2 linked regions of the Struthio camelus genome follow. The protein of the gene in region 2 purifies or fractionates together with the protein of the main gene of each other region. This does not show direct contact. Links are inferred from orthologs where the notes say so. Each region holds a gene or a part of one and is shown on either strand. Other genes may lie near its edges.

Evidence for each region. The genes of interacting proteins can lie anywhere in the genome.
Region 1: the proteins of INAVA (region 2) and CYTH3 purify together in Homo sapiens (co-immunoprecipitation; 3 studies listed by BioGRID and IntAct, counting the BioPlex papers as one, with this or other methods). This does not show direct contact. The link is inferred for Struthio camelus from reciprocal best matches to the Homo sapiens genes INAVA and CYTH3.

The regions. Positions count from the first base shown.
Region 1 is NC_090956.1:9,140,531-9,148,269, forward strand, and holds the start of CYTH3 (cytohesin-3), read right to left. Parts: upstream 3,079-7,739; coding exon 2,962-3,078; intron 2,280-2,961; coding exon 2,215-2,279; intron 1,796-2,214; coding exon 1,729-1,795; intron 1-1,728. UniProt on the Homo sapiens protein: Promotes guanine-nucleotide exchange on ARF1 and ARF6. Promotes the activation of ARF factors through replacement of GDP with GTP. Plays a role in the epithelial polarization.
Region 2 is NC_090965.1:4,025,778-4,033,722, forward strand, and holds the start of INAVA (innate immunity activator protein), read right to left. Parts: upstream 3,081-7,945; 5' UTR 3,041-3,080; intron 2,517-3,040; exon of another isoform or gene 2,474-2,516; 5' UTR 2,381-2,473; intron 1,584-2,380; 5' UTR 1,569-1,583; coding exon 1,523-1,568; intron 1,112-1,522; coding exon 996-1,111; intron 919-995; coding exon 799-918; intron 554-798; coding exon 325-553; intron 1-324. Other genes in the region: GPR25 (probable G-protein coupled receptor 25), read right to left, coding at 7,465-7,945. UniProt on the Homo sapiens protein: Expressed in peripheral macrophages and intestinal myeloid-derived cells, is required for optimal PRR (pattern recognition receptor)-induced signaling, cytokine secretion, and bacterial clearance.

The DNA.
Region 1 (7,739 bases), on a different chromosome or scaffold from region 2:
AAAATAGAGAAATTAGCTCTATATGTTCTTGCCAACGAGAATGTGTTAGATGTCTTTTTTATTATTTGTTTTTAAAGGAGAGAATTTGGGGAATTCAACACACGTATTGTTATCCCATTTCTTTCACATTCCTGTCTATGGAGACCATTTTCTCTCCCATTTAGGAAAAAAAAAAAAAAAAGTCCTTTTCCACAGTGATTCCAAGTTAATTCTCTCAAACATCAGAAGGACATATATTTTAGCTGCCTATAATTCAAAGTAACAGTTGCTAACAAAGAGATGATCCAGCTTTAGAGCAGCCAGCTCTTGCAGGCCACCACTGCTTCACAGACATCATTAAGGAATTACTACTGTAAGTCTATTCACCACATTTAAATTATGTTACAGGAGCAATGTGGCCACAGCATCTATTTATAGAAATAATTTCACCCACCAATAAAGACCAGCTAACATTGCAACGAAAATATTTGACATCATTCTGTGATTTTACCACAAACTTCTAGGAGGCAAAGGAGCTGGAGAAAACAACATATCAGGATATTTGAGGATATTCTGCCCTCAGCAGAACCAAAGTCAGACAGTCGCCAAAACAGACAAGAAAAATAAAAGACATGGTCAATGGCTTAAAAAAAGTTCTGTATCACAAAACACTAGAGTGCTTATGGTAAGTTGAAAATAGCCCCCAAAAAACAGTCGACATTATTGTACTTGGAACATCACAGAAAAGCCACCAAAACACAACTGAATTAAATACGTTTGGAAAGAAAACATGTCAAGAACAGACACAGGAAAACAAAGGCTTATTAAAAAATTCTGAAAGAGTTGTTAAAGATCCTTCAGAAATTCAAAATGAAATCCTAATGAAAACAACAGAAGGCAGTAAAACATAAAGCAAGAAAGCTCCAAAATGAAAAGTAAAGGTTAAAGGGGAAATCTAGGAAACCAAGTCAAATATATCAAAGCAACACTTTTTTTTTTTGTAATATATCAGAGGGAAGTCTACAAGAGAATGAGCAGGTCACGGAATTCTCAAGGTAAAACCGCTATTCAGCGGAGCAATGAACTACTTTACCTTTCAGCTAACGCACAGTAGCCTTCTTGAAACTGATAACCAAGTATCCACTTGCGGCTACTTACCAGTGGTACAGGTACGTATATATGTATGTGTGAACACGCGTGCATATATAAGCATACAAATCTATACACATGCATTATTCACAAACAGAATTTAGATAAGCAAATATAAGAGTCTATGTGAGAACAAATTTTGAAAAACATTATCGATATCTTAAAAGAACAAAAAATAGGGGGCAGACAATACATATGGCCTAGCTAGTAACCAAACTTCAAAATATTTTCATAATTACATTTAGCATACCAATACAAAACACCTCTATCAGGTGTAAATAATCTTTCTGCAAGCCAACTCAATACCTGGCATATTTGACCTTTGATAATATTTTCTGTTATCAAAAAAAAGTCTGCTTGAGTGAAAAAAGCATACATGACTGGCAAATGACCAAACGACTGCACCTAATTTAACCCTCTGCTCAGTATGTTAAAGGATAGACAAATAAGGCCTATGAATTTAACGCTATCAGACATGATTTCTTAAAGAAAACAGTCTATATTTGCCACAAATCACATCACTAGCAGGAACCTGAGTCCTGACAAGTTAAAAAACAAACAAATAAACAAAAAAAACACCACACAAAACACATGCTCTACCTTCTTAGGATCCATGTTGAATTTCTTCCTTCCCATAGCTACTTGCTTATTTCTTTGCGTAGCTTTGCTTCATATGGAGAAAAAGAAAAGGAAGAAACAAAAAGATTATCCCTTGCTCTTAGATAATTTCTGGACGAACCTCTTAACTTGACCGTTGGCTACTTTTGTATTTTCAATTACAGAACTGAGACATTTAGTTTTCACAAGGGGAAAAATATGTTACAATTTTAAATTATTTTAAGTGATCACAGCTTTAGAGCTGTATCATTATCAATAGAACAGCTGAAAGGATCACACTCTATCCAATATATCTATCACTTTCTAGCCAAAGCAAAGACACATCTGAATGGGATAAGACCTTATAACAGAGTGAAAAAAGGTGATCAAATGTTTGTTCAACATAATAAAGCTATCTGTATTTGCTGTTCCTGAAAGACCTGTTCCAACATCTTACTGAAGCATTCCCATATCGTTAGCATTACTTACCTTTCTTCTACGCTAGTCAGATTATCAATTTCTGTCATAACCTCGGCTATCTCAAATTTTAATCTCTGCCAAGAGAGGGAAGTAAAGTAAGTCAACCAACATTAAAGCATTTTTTGAAATTGGCTAGCATATACGGTTATGATCAATTAGTTTTTTTTTTTTTTTAATATTTACTAGTCATCTGAAGAAAAGTAGTGAACCTTCCTGAGATTCTTAGCTTAAAGATTTTAATTTGACCACAGCTGAATCACTGTTAAACACGTGGATCTTAACTCCCAGTGCGTGCCCAGGTCGGAACACCACAATCAAAAAATCCTCTTCCGAAAGCTGTTTTTCAGATTCTGTTCTGAATACAGATTTTACACCTATTATTCATCTGCTTACCTTCAATGTCACATTATTTCATGTTCTTTACCACTACAAGAAACATTAACCATTTCAATATAATTTTTTTTTGCTCAGATTTCTCATTCACTGCTACCCTGAATACAAAACTACTGTATATGAGATATTACACTAACCTAGAATATTTACATATGCACATGTTACATTACATACAGATATTAGCATTTTTAAAACATAAATGCTGCATAAATCCTTTTGATAATTAGTAAGATTTAGGTTAAGCCATTTAGATGCTTTTGAAAACATTACCTGCAGTTCATAACTAGGTAGAGGGAAGTGTTGCAGTGTACTGTAACTTAATCTACTGAAGCAGTCCTGTAAGAATTTTTAGAGATAAATTACCTCAATATCATCAATCAGTTCTTTTTTCCTGCGACGAATATTTAGCAGTTCTTCTCTTTCCTCTATGGAGAGGTCATCAGGCACTGAAATACAGCAAAAAGTACAGTCTTTCACCATTTGCAAACACACTTTACAGAAGAAAATCAGACTATGTCGATTAAGAAAAGCAAGTTTACAGGCAACTTCATGGCATTTTTTTTTTTTAGTCAAGATTATTTTCAGAGGAAAAAAAAGAAAGAAAACGGAATACTCACTTTACTGAAATTCTACTTTATAAATCATAAATTAGGTAATTAAATGAACGACTATGGAAAGAATCTGTCTTTCAAAGAAAGCCAGACAATTAAAGGGAATCTGTTCTCATATAATGGGTCATCAGATTTGGCTCTACAGTTACATTGCCAAATTCATGTCTGGCATCACTCCAATTGTTTCAATAACAGACCAAAATTCTCCATGTAAATTAAGTATGATTTAACACACATGCACCTGACTATCTTTTCAGGAAAAAAGGTAACGCTACATAAAACTCATTACAAAGACACGCATCCTGGTGCTGATTTCAGACGACAACATATTTTCAGGAGTACCCTTTTATTTGACTGCTTTGTACAGCAGATGCCTGTAAGTATAATACTACTAACATCTTTAACAGCGATTACTTCCCATCAGCAGGATAGACATCTTTCTACATTACAAATAAACAAACAGTTGGAATTAGTTATTTAGCACAGCATCTCACAAGCTTATGTTTTCATATAATATCATTTAAATAAGTCCGAAGTATTTAAGTCAATTTTAGATATCTTTTTGACTATGCTAAAACAAATATGCTACCATGTTGATAAAAATTACTTGCTACTGAAGATGCAAACACATTTCTGTACACAGCTTCGGCTGTCACTCACCCTAGCAGCAGCTCCCTTACCCCACTGTCTGCATCTGACAAGCAAACATGAAAAGTTGCTCCAAAAAACCTCAGCTTTTATTAAGCAATTGCATTCTCCCTAGCAAGAGGCTTCATAGGACAGAGACTACGCTCACTCACTTGCACAGCACTACCATATCAACCAAAAATATGCACCTGCTTTGCAACGAACCCATAGTATAATAGTTTTTCATGTGACTCACTCTCTTGGAAATTGCTCCAGAATTGCAGAACAACTTTTCCTTCAAGATTAGATAAAACAGAATATGTAAAACAAATAAAATTCTTTACCAACAAAAACATGTAAAAGTACGTAGTCATTTAAAAAGGCCAAAGTTGTTTCTTTATCTCATATGCCCGTGTCTAGCAGCTTCTAGCAACAGGATCAGGAGCTCAGACTTAGGTTTTATGGGATTTTTTTTAAAGATATATTTGAAACGTATCCTCTGTTCAAATCTTAACAGTGAAATATAGCGATTCTTTCTGGCAGCCAGTGATTAACCTCCTTTCCTCCTAGGAGTCTAAGCATAATATAAAATCCAAATGGCAACACAGCTTGTTAAACACAAAGTAATTATGCCAAATGATCTAATTTAACTCTTCCAGACACAAACGTAATTACATTACTCCCAGCTTAGGAAATGATAAAGTCTTTTGTTGAAAGAATACCAGACTTGAATATGTTTACCTGCTTTTTCCCTTCATCTCCCCAGAACCCTACCCATTCCTAAAAATTTCTTTCATGCAAATACTAACCGATTCTTTTTGCAAAACTTACAAATACATTTGCCTACCCCAGACATCACAGCTTTGTCTCACACGTACAGCCCAAGATTTTACATTGGCCAAACTCAAGAGATTTTCCTGACTACGCACACACTAGGTACACGCAGATACCACAGTCGTTCCAGTTACCTGACGACCTGACAACAAAATACGAAGCCTGTTACCTGAAGCTGATTATTAAGGTGGCAAGACGTGTATAAGCACTCAGCCTCTTAGCTGGGAAGTACGCTCCAGTATCCCTAAAGCGCTTTTGCAGTAGACGCAACTAGATTAGATTTTGCAGTATCAGTATTAGGAAGTGTTTGGGGCTTTTTGTTTGTTTGTTGGGGGCGGGGGGGTTGGTTTTTAACTTTTGGTCACAGCAGACGGTCTGGCAAATCTCATCTTCATTAGCAATTGGAAATACAAATTCAAACCTAAATAGACAATAACCTTTAAGTATTAAATGGTTAGTAACCATAGACGGTGCTCGATTTTTACTTCCAATCAAGTGACAAAAATCTTTGCAGCAGCTGCTCTTTGGGCGGCAGGATGCCGTCGCTCACCCTTACTGCGGTTTCTTTTCTCCAAGTCACTCTGCAGCTGAAGCCCACCGGGGTAAGGGTGTGGGACGCCTAGGACAAGTTAACGTCTCCTTGGAACCAACCCAAATGGCGCCACAGCAGTCTACCCTCCAGACAGCCACCGAAGAACAGAAATAAAAACATTTCAGTCCTTTTCCTACAGCACCCACAGACACTCTCCTGGGTTTTTTTTTCCATTTCCTCTGACAGTTCGCAGCAGCCACAGAGACATAACCCTCCTGATATGATTAATGATATTGTCACACAGGAAGGAAATAAACTAAACGGAGCCACGCCGCCGTTGGCCTTCGGAAGTCGCATCGAGGATCTATCTGCCAGCAGCAAGACGAGCGCTGTCTGCTGGCGGGACGGTTCTAAAGAGAGCGCTTGGAGGCGACGCCACGTCCGGACAACACCGTCACATGGCAGTCCTAACACCGAAGCCAAAAAAGGCTAATATCCCTTGAGAAGAATAAAGAGCCAGGACACAACTGGGTAAGCGTTAGGGTACTGCTTGGGCTTCTGCTGTAGTCAGGGCTTTATTTCCCCTTAGCCCGGCAGCCAGCGAGGACAGATCACTTCCTTGGCAGGACAGATCACTTCCTTGGCAGGATGCGCAGCTCCTGTCGTCGCCCCAAACTGGCCCGTGTGTGCAGACAACCGTGGGAGTTTGCTACGCGCTCACCCCCCTCCTATCATCACTGCCTCCCTTCTCCAGCGCTCCTGCTCGCGCTGAGGAGGAAACGGATCCATCGGAAAGTGAACCCCCCCACCTCCCCAAAAACTTTCTTAACAGGCTGCGTGGGCTGTCACAGACCGCAATTTCGGAGGCCTTACGGTTCTGCTCCAGGAGGCTGTGTGACCTCAGCCATGTCTACTGCCTTCTCCATGTTTCAATCCCCCTTCTTAAAACACAAATGCAACAACAGTATTTCTGTATTTCGGTGAAGGGCTTTGAAACATCAGCACTGTAAGGTATTTTTACCTTACCTGGAAGGAAAGGAACAGCAGAAGATGCTCAACTGTGGCTTAAAACATTGCTCATGCAAGAAGGGCACCACTAACATTACTTTTTGCTCTCGAGAATCTACTCTGCATTTTTCACTTCAATTATTCTTTGCTTTTCAGTGATCTCTAGTGATTCAAAAACACATGGAAAACAGGAAAAAACCCTACATTCTACTTCTAAATAAATAAAATGTTGCTTCAGTGATATCAGACCTGTTCCAGACTCAAACAGCAATTGGTCAATCCAACGGCAGTTTGAGGCGCCTTCTGCAACCCGCCGTGCAGCTACCGCAGCGAGAGCCAGCAAACCATGTTCGTTTTATTTATTCAAAAAAAAAAATTGAAAACCCACAATTGAGATGTTTGACACAAAGACTTATTTTACAGCTGCTGAAAACAAACGTAAGATCAAATATGGCCAAAAGTTTAACAGCAGTGCATTAAAACTTTCTTACAGTCATAAGCAAATATTGCAGGTACATGACACAAATATCCGCTCTGACAAGACTGCTTCCATTAAACAACTTTGACTCTTCCATAGCTAAAATACTCAAGTTTGTTGTTTAACCTTGTGTCCATATAACCCTTCGTACAGAAGGGCTCCTAGAGCGCACATTACGCATTTGTCCCATAAGACAGGTTTTCTAGCTGCCCTCTCTCAGTCACTTCCAAGTTTTCTGCGGTTCACCAGCTCTAAACACAAAGTAGACAGGATAGGAGGAGTCTGCACGAACATTTAAATAACAAAAAGGAACAAAGATCCTCTGGAGGGAAAAGTGTTACAGCATAGCGAACAAGCTGCGGGTGCACCATGCTTTCATGATGTCTTCTAGTCTTTAAATAAAAAGAATGTTCTATTGCTAACGCAACTCATTCATGCGACAAACCTTTTAGCCCGCGTGGAAAGCGTTTCAGCTGCTACTAAATAGGAAGTCAATTTAGTTACTGATCTTTCATTAAAGAGGAACAAAGTTATTGAAAGTACAAATTATACTCTTAGCCAAGTAGTAAAACAGAAGAACGCACAACAGCACATATATATGTATCTATATATCTATATATACACACACTCACACACACACATATATATAGTTACTACTAAAAGTTACCGAAATTTGAATAGATATCCCCAGTTTGGTCTATCTTTGTTCAATTACTGTAACTGATCTAAATGCATTTCATTGTATTTCTTCTAAACAAACATTTACTGGAATATGCACATTTAATACAGGTTTGTTTACAGTAAATGGGTTACCAAAAAACCTAAAAAAACCCAAAAACACCTGTAGTTTGCCATAGTAATTAGTGTTTTGTCCTGCAGTTGTGATGTCACTTTCTTAAATAAATTCGCTACTACTACTGACAACACAAGTACAGTATCCAAACAAGAATATTAACCAAAAACCCTTAAAGCTTATGAATACACAGTAAGCATCTATTTCTCTCTACTAAAAAGCACTGGAATCAATTAGCTTCTTAGGTGCTGACATTTA
Region 2 (7,945 bases):
CCCGGAGGGTGCAACAGGGCGCATCCTCCCGGGGCACCCCGGGGTGCATTCGCCCCGGAGGGTGCAGCGGGGCGCATCCTCCCAGGGCACCCCGGGGTGCTTCTGCCCAGGAGGGTGCAACAGGGCGCATCCTCCCAGGGCACCCCGGGGTGCATTCGCCCCGGAGGGTGCAGCAGGGCGCATCCTCCCAGGGCACCCCGGGGTGCACGCACGGCACCCAGCACCCCGGCCTGCAGTCCCCAGGGACGACAGTGCCGAGTCCCCCGGCCTGCAGCAGCCACCGCCGGGGCCGGACGCCACGCGAGCGCCGGGGTGCAGGCTCACCGTCGGCGGCGGTGCCGCCGCTCGTGGGCAGGGGCCGGCAGCCGGCCCGGAGGCGACACTCGTTCAGGGTGGTCTCCAGCTCCTTCAGCTTCCTCTCCTCCTTCAGCGCCGCGCTCTTCCGCCGCTTGCGCAGCTGCTTGCCGATGTTCTCCTCCCGGCAGAGGCGGCGGGCGGCCTCGGCGATCTGCAGCTGCAGCGCCAGGTCCCGCTCCAGGGTGCTCAGCGGGTCCTGGGGACGGCGGAGGGCGGCGGGTGGAGGAGGGAGGGGAAGGACGGACGGCTGCTCGGCACCCGCCACCCCGAACCTGGCTGCGCCCCGGGGTGCCCAGGGCGGCCGCGCGGGGCTGAGCACCCCGTCGGCGCGCGGCCGGGGGGGAGGAGGAGGAGGAAGGGGCGCCGGCGTGACAACGAAGGCTGAGGCCAGGCTGGGTTTTGGGGGGGGGGGTACATGGGGGGCAAGCGGGGACGTCTCACCGCCCCGCGCAGGACCAGGGTCTCATCCAGCTTGAAGGCGGCGCCGATCCTCCGCCGCACTTTGGGGGGCTTCTCGCCGCTTTGCAGGGGGAACTCGCGGGGCAAAATCCCCGTCAGCTCCTGGAGCAGAGCGGGGAGAGCTGAGCCGGGGCCGGGGGGGCACCGCGGCCGGACGCCCACCGCCCGCCGCCGCTCACCGCCTCGCGCAGGCACAGGCGCCGCAGCTCCTGCACGCAGACCTCCAGCCGGGCCTCCAGCTCCCGGCGCCGCTTGCGCTGAGCCGCCGGGTCCCCTCGGGCCGCGCTGTGAAAAGCTGTGATTTTTTTTTTTTTTTTTTTTTTAAATCTCGACCCCCCCCCCGACCCCCCCCCCGCCGCCCCGCCGCCAGGAGGATGCTCCGAAGCCGGCGGCGGCGGCGGCAGGTTTCGCTCTGACTCAGCCGCTCCCCGGAGCGAAACCCGCCGGCGCCGGGGGGGGGGGGGGGCGTGCCGGGCTCTGGCATCGCCGTGTCCCCCCCGGCCCCGACCCCACGCGGGGACTCCCCCCCCCCCCCCGCATCCCCATCCCGCTCGGCTGCTTCGCCCCGACCTGGGGAAATCCCGAATTTCCCAATTGTCGACTTTTCCCCCGCCCCGTCGTGCGGAGCTGCTGGCACCGGGCCGGGGGCCGGCTCCTCGCCCCGACCCGCCCGTCGCGGCGGGGGCGCTCGGCCGGCCGCGCTCACCCGAGCGCCGCGGGGCGCCGCTGTCCGTCTCGCTCGCCTGCTCCATGCCGGCCCGGGGCACCTGCGCGGGAGCGCCGAGCCCGTCGTCCGGCCCCGCACGCGCCTGGGGACCCCCCCACCCCGCCGTGGCCGGCCTTGCACACGCGGGTGCAACCTCCCACGCACCCGGCCTTGCACACGCGTGTGCACCCCCACCGTACCCAGCCTTGCACACATGTGTGCACCCCTCGCTCGCTGTGCCCACCCTTGCACACGCGGGTGCACCCCCACTGTGTCCAGCCTTGCACACGTGTGTGCACCCCCGCCATGCCCAGCCTTGCACATGTAGGTGCAACCTCTCATGCACCCAGCCTTGCACACGCATGTGCACCCCCGCCATGCCCAGCCTTGCACACGTGTGCAACCTCCCATGCACCCAGCCTTGTACACACGTGTGCAACCTCCCATGCGCCCACCCTGCTCAGCCTTGCACACATGTGCACCCCACCCACCTTGCCCACCCTTGCACACATGTGTGCACCCCCACCCTGCCCAGCCTTGCACACACATGTCCAACCTCCCACGCACCCAACCTGCCCAGCCTTGCACACGCATGTGCAACCCCCCCCACCATGCCCAGCCTTGCACATGCATGTGCACCTCCCCACCCTGCCCAGCCTTGCACACGCAAGTGCAACCCCCCCGCGCACCCTTAGCCCCTGGCCGGCGGCAGCTCTCCGGGGCCAGAGGCAGTTTGCTCCCGGAGGAGCAGCCACCCCCCCCAGCCCCCCCTGTGCCTCAGTTTCCCTCCCGATGCACCACCACGCACGGCACCCCGCAGCGCCAGGCCGGGCGCCCCGTTTCTCAGCGGCGACCCACCGCTCAGCTCCTTCTCGGCCGGACTTCGTATCCTGCGGGGCCACAGAGCCCCCTCCCACCCCGTCGCGCCGGTTGGCGAGCGGCGCTTTGTTGCTGCGGGGGAGGAAGGCGAGTCAGTGTTTGCTTTGCCTGCCGGCCTTCTTGTAGGTCCTACGATAAACAAAAGCGTGCAAAGGCCGGCTTCGCCCCGGCGCAGCCCAAGGGGGGTGTCCGGATCGGGAAAGGGGGTCCCGTGGATGCCGGAGCCCGGCCAGGCCGGGGGAGGCACGTGGGACCGTCACGGTCCCGTTCCCACCCCGGCTGGTTTCGCTGGGCGCCTCTCCCAGTTTTTATTTCATCTCCGCCTCGGGTTCACACGGGCGCCCGGCTCCCTCCCGCGCGGAGGGCGAGGCGTTTTTCCAGGAGTGGGATGTGGGAAAGCTGCTGCCCCCCCCCGGACGCCCCATTTCCCGCAGAGCCCCCGGGAAGAGGCTGGAGGAGCCAGCACAGCACCGGGCCTCGCAGGCCTCACGCGTGTCTCTGCCGCGCGAGCTGGAGGGCAGTGTCGGGCAGATATCCGGTCCAGGGCAAAGTTCCCCAGGGACTGGGAAGGCCGGAGCAGGGCCATGAGCAGCCTCGTTTCTCCTGCGTGATCTCCAAAAAACCCTGTTTTGGGGGTACCTGTTGCCTCCCTGGAGCACAGGAGGGAGACACCTCGGCCGGGCCGTTTCAATCTCCTCTTCCCCCCATCTCTCCGGAGCCAACCTTGGGGCGATCGGGCACCAAGAGCTCCTCCCCACGGGACCCTCGCTGCTCGGCGTGGTGCCGAGACGCTCTGATCTCCCCAGCGCGTCCCCGGCGGCGCCGGCGCCGGCGGCACCCGGCAATGGCTCGTCCCGGCAAGAGGCTGGACCCGTCGTGGCCTGGGGGAGCGGAGGGGAGGAGAGGCAGCGTCACCCCCTCGCCAGCCGCCTGCGGCTTTGCACCCGCTCGGCTCCCGGCTCCGGCGTGGCTCGCGCAGTTGTGTCGGGTCGGGGGCCGCAGCCGCGCAGGCGATGCCTTACCTGGAGCTGCCGGCCCGGCCGGGCGCCGCCGGCTCGGCCGCCACTCGCCGCCTCTGCCCGCGCCTGGGAAACCGGGCGACTTGTTTTGACTTGAGTCAGAGGGGAGGAGCAGGTGAGCAACACCTTCCCGGGCGAAATCCCTCACGAGCCGGGGCTGCGGCACCTCCCTGCCCTCCCCGCGCCGCCGGGGGCCGGGGGCTGTGCCGGCTCGGGGGCACAGCGCGGTGCGGCGATGGATTGCACGGCGCAGCAGAGCGTACGGTTGCACGGCACAGCGTGGCATGGCACGGCATGGTACATCATAGCAAAGCACAGCATGGCATGGCACTGCACTGCATGGCCCGGCACAGCATGGCATGGCACAGCACGGCACGGCATGGTGCATCATAGCAAGGCGTGACATGGCATGGCACTGCACTGCATGGCATGGCCTGGCATGGCATGGCACAGCATGGCACAGCATGGTGCATCATAGCACTGCATGGCAGTGGATTGCATAGCACAGCACAGCATGGCACAGCACAGCATGGGATTGCATGGCACAGCATGGCACAGCATGGCACAGCATGGTGCATCATAGTCAGTGGATGCACTGTGCATGCATGGCAGTGGATTGCATGGCACAACATGGCACGGCATGGCGCATCATAGCATGGCACGGCATGGCATGGCACAGCATGGGATTGCATGGCACAGTGTGGCACAGTACGGCACAGCATGGTGCACCATAGCACTGCATAGCAGTGGATTGCATGGCACAGCATGGCACAGCATGGCACAGCACGGCACGGTGCATCATAGCATGGCACGGCATGGGATCACATGGCACGGCACAGCATCGCCATGGGTACCGTTGTCTTCATCGCGACGAAGCTGCTGGCAGCACACGGGGAGAAAAAGGGGCCGGGAAGAGGGAGGAAGGGCCAGGAGAGGGGGGCAGGTGAACGCCGGCTCTGCCCCGGGGCCCGTGGGATCGGCGCTGCTGCCAGCTCACAGCCGGCGCGGGATGAATCACTGCGGGCTGCGGCGGCGCGCCAGCCACATCCTGCGTCGCCGGGAGCCGGGGCAGGTGATGGAAAGTCTGCCTCAGCCCGCGGCGCCGGGGAGGGATGCTCCGGGCGGCGGGTGGGCCTGGAGGACCGCGAGGTGCTGGCTGCCGGCGCCGCGGGGGCCTCCCGGCATCGCTGCTGCCTGCAGAGCAGGAGCAGGAGCAGGAGCAGGAGCAGGAGCAGGAGGAGCAGGAGGAGGAGGGAGTTTCCTCCTGAGCTGAGCCCGTGTGGCCGGGGCCTGCTCCGACATGCCGGTGCTTCGTGGGTGCGACGCCGGGGGCGGCGAGCGGTGCGGCGCGGCGGGGGCTGCCGGGAGCCCCGGGGACCGGCCGCTGCAAGGGCAGCGCTGGGTGCTGCCAGGGAGCTGCGCTGCTTCCCTTCCCCTCCCCTGGGTGCAGGCGGGCAGGGGGCAGGTAAGGGGGTGCAGGTTGGGTGCAGGCAGGGGTGCAGGTAAGGGGGTGCAGGTTGATTGCAGGCAGGGGTGCAGGTTGGGTGCAGGTAAGGGGGTGCAGGTTGATTGCAGGCAGGGGTGCAGGTAAAGGGGTGCAGGTTGGGTGCAGATAAGGGGGTGCAGGCAGGAGAGGGTGCAGGCAGGCGCAGTGCAAGCAGGGTGCAGGTAAAGGGGTGCAGGTTGGGTGCAGGTAAGGGAGTGCAGGTAAGGGGGTGCAGGCAGGCACAGTGCAGGCTGGGGTGCAGGTAAAGGGGTGCAGGTTGGGTGCAGGTAAGGGGGTGCAGGCAGGAGAGGGTGCAGGTTGGGTGCAGGTAATGGGGTGCAGGCAGGAGAGGGTGCAGGCAGGTGCAGTGCAGGCAGGGGTGCAGGCAGGGGAAGCGGCTGCGGGCTGGGGTGCAGGCAAGGGTACGCACAGGGGAAGTCGGTGCAAGCAGGGTGCAGGCAAGGGTGCAAACAGAGGAGGTGCAGGCAGGAGAGGGTGCAGGCAGCAGAGCTGCCCCACGAAGGCCACGGGCTCCCGCTGCAAATCTCCAAAGTTTTCTTATCCGCTCACCGCTTGGAGACGCCGGTGCATCCCTCGGGAACCGTGCAGCAACACCTCGCTCGCTCCCGGAGCCGGACTCGGCGCGCACGGCTCTCTGCCCCACAGGTAGCGCCCCGGGCATGGCCGCGCGGGGGGTTTGCCGGTGCCGGGCAGCGGGGCTGCGGCGGGGAAGGAAACGGATGGCCGAGGTCAGCCGGCGGGGGGGGTGTTATTTAGCGCCTGTCGCCTGCATCGTGGGAGAGTCACCCGCGGCCGTTGGTGCGGCCGGGGCTGGCACACATCTGCCCAGGTTTCTGATGAGCGGGGGGAAGCCGTTTCTGTTTGTTTTTAACTCAAATGCAGAGATCAGAAACCAAACCGCGGCCCAGCCTGGCCAGCGCTGGTGGCCGGCGGCAGCGCGTCCTCGCACCCCGCTGGGTTTTTCCACCCCGGAGGGCACGGCCCAGGGCAAAACGGCCTTAAACAGCAGAAATGCACCCAGAAAGTGTCATTGCCAGGGCTCGTCCCCCGCCGAGGTCCCGGGGGGGGGACTCACACGGTAAACGTGGGCCAGCAGTGACACTTGTCCCTGGCGCACGGTGGCATTTCCGAGGGTGTCTCGTGGATGCTGCTGTTTCATTGGCATGATGGTATTTTATTCCCCTTCGAGGGGGTCAAGGCAGGAAACCCTGGCAGTGCGGGGCGCCGCGTAGCGAGAAAGTGAACGGGAAGAAAAACGGTTTAGAGCCGTTTGGCAGGGGAAAACGCGGGGCGAGAAGGCAAGGGAAACGCTTGCGGCCTCAGTGCTGCTGCTCTCCCATCGATGCCCACGCTCGGGGCCAGCGCGGAGGTGGCCGGGATGCGTCGGCCGCCTCCGAGAGCGCGTGTCCCCGCGCCCGGGCACCCCGGCTGTCCCCCGTGGGCTGTGTGCTGGGAAACGGCAGCTCATTTTGCAAAGCGGCGCATTTAGGAGGCAGGCGGCGGAGGTGGCCGTCCTGCGTCGGCCAGGGCCCGGGATCGGCGGGCGCGGGAAAGCCGCGGCAGAAAGGGCACGGTTGCAGAAAGCCCGTCTCAAAAAGCCCGGCGCAATGGTTTCTAATCGAGTAACCGTGGCTCAAAATTTCCACAAGCGGCCCGGGGCCAGGCTGCCAAGTGCCACCACCGAAAGCGGCGGTTCCCATAGACATCTGCCCCGGTCTCGGCAAAGCTTCTCTGAACCACAGCTGAGCATTAAAACATATTTATTCCACAAGCAGGCTATAAAAATAGCTGTTCATAAGACCGAAATCAATGCTGAAAGTGGGCACGCAGATTCCTGCTTGCAAGCTTATTTCTTTTAACCTGCTAAGCTTATTAAGAGCATTTTATCATACGATTACTTAACAGAGAGAGAGTGCTGCCGTTTTGGGTTGTATGATCACAGCTGCAGTTGTTCCGCCCGTGTTATCGATATATTTGAGAAGTAGAGGCAATCCCACAAAAGCAGCAATAGCCCTGCGAGACACAAACTCAGCAGCTAGTGGAATCGATGCAAGGAATTGCACCACGTGCTGGGGCTGATGCCACCCGCAATGGCTTTAACCCAAGGCTGCTTGGTTTAATTAAGCTCATAATCACACAGCAGGTCTGAAATGATGGCGGCTGCGGAGGGACGGGTCTGGGCTCTGGGAAACCGTCACCTTGCGCCTGCGACGGCATCTGCCTGGCCCCGGTGATGCCCTGGGCAGGCCCTGGGAAGTCGGCAGGGACAAAGCTTAGCAGCCGCTTTGGAAAAGCATCCGAACCCGTGGTGTGGGGAGCTGCAGCTTCACCTGCCGGGACCAACTTTAGCAGCTGTTTTGGAAACGCATCCGAATCTGTGGCGCAGGGCTGTGCTGGAGCCAGGAAACCCCCCCCCCCCAGAAAGGGCTCATCCTGCGCTCCCTCAGCCCCGCAGCTCTCTCTCTGCAATGCTTTGAAGAGATGAGGAAGGTAGACAAGCCCAGGCACTTGCTCAAGCTCAGCCCTCCCCAAATGACCTACTCGTTTGGCCCCCAATCCTTCTCCTCTTGCACTGCTGGCCAGCGCCCCGGCGGTGCGGACGGCTTGGTCCTGACGCCGAACATGAGGCTGGACTCGGTCACAGAGGACGTCGTGGCCATGTTGTGCCCCTTCTCTGCGGGGGAAAGGCAGAGCACCCGGAGAGCCGGGGGCAGCAGCTGGCGCCGGAAATGGCGATCCATCAGGGTGTAAATGATGGGGTTGACGCAGCTGTTCATGAAGGCCAGGCATGTGCTGCTGGTGACGACCCACCTCAAGGCCTCCTCCTCCACCTCGGAGAGGACCAGCATCCCCTTCGCGATGAAGAAGAGCAACACCTTGCAGACATTCAAGGGCAGCCAGGAGCAGATGAAGGCTCCGACGATGGTGAAGATGATCCGGTGGGAGTTCCTCATCCCCTTCCCCAGCCTGATGTGCCTGTGGAGCTGGTAGTAGATGGAGCAGTAGCAGAACAAGATG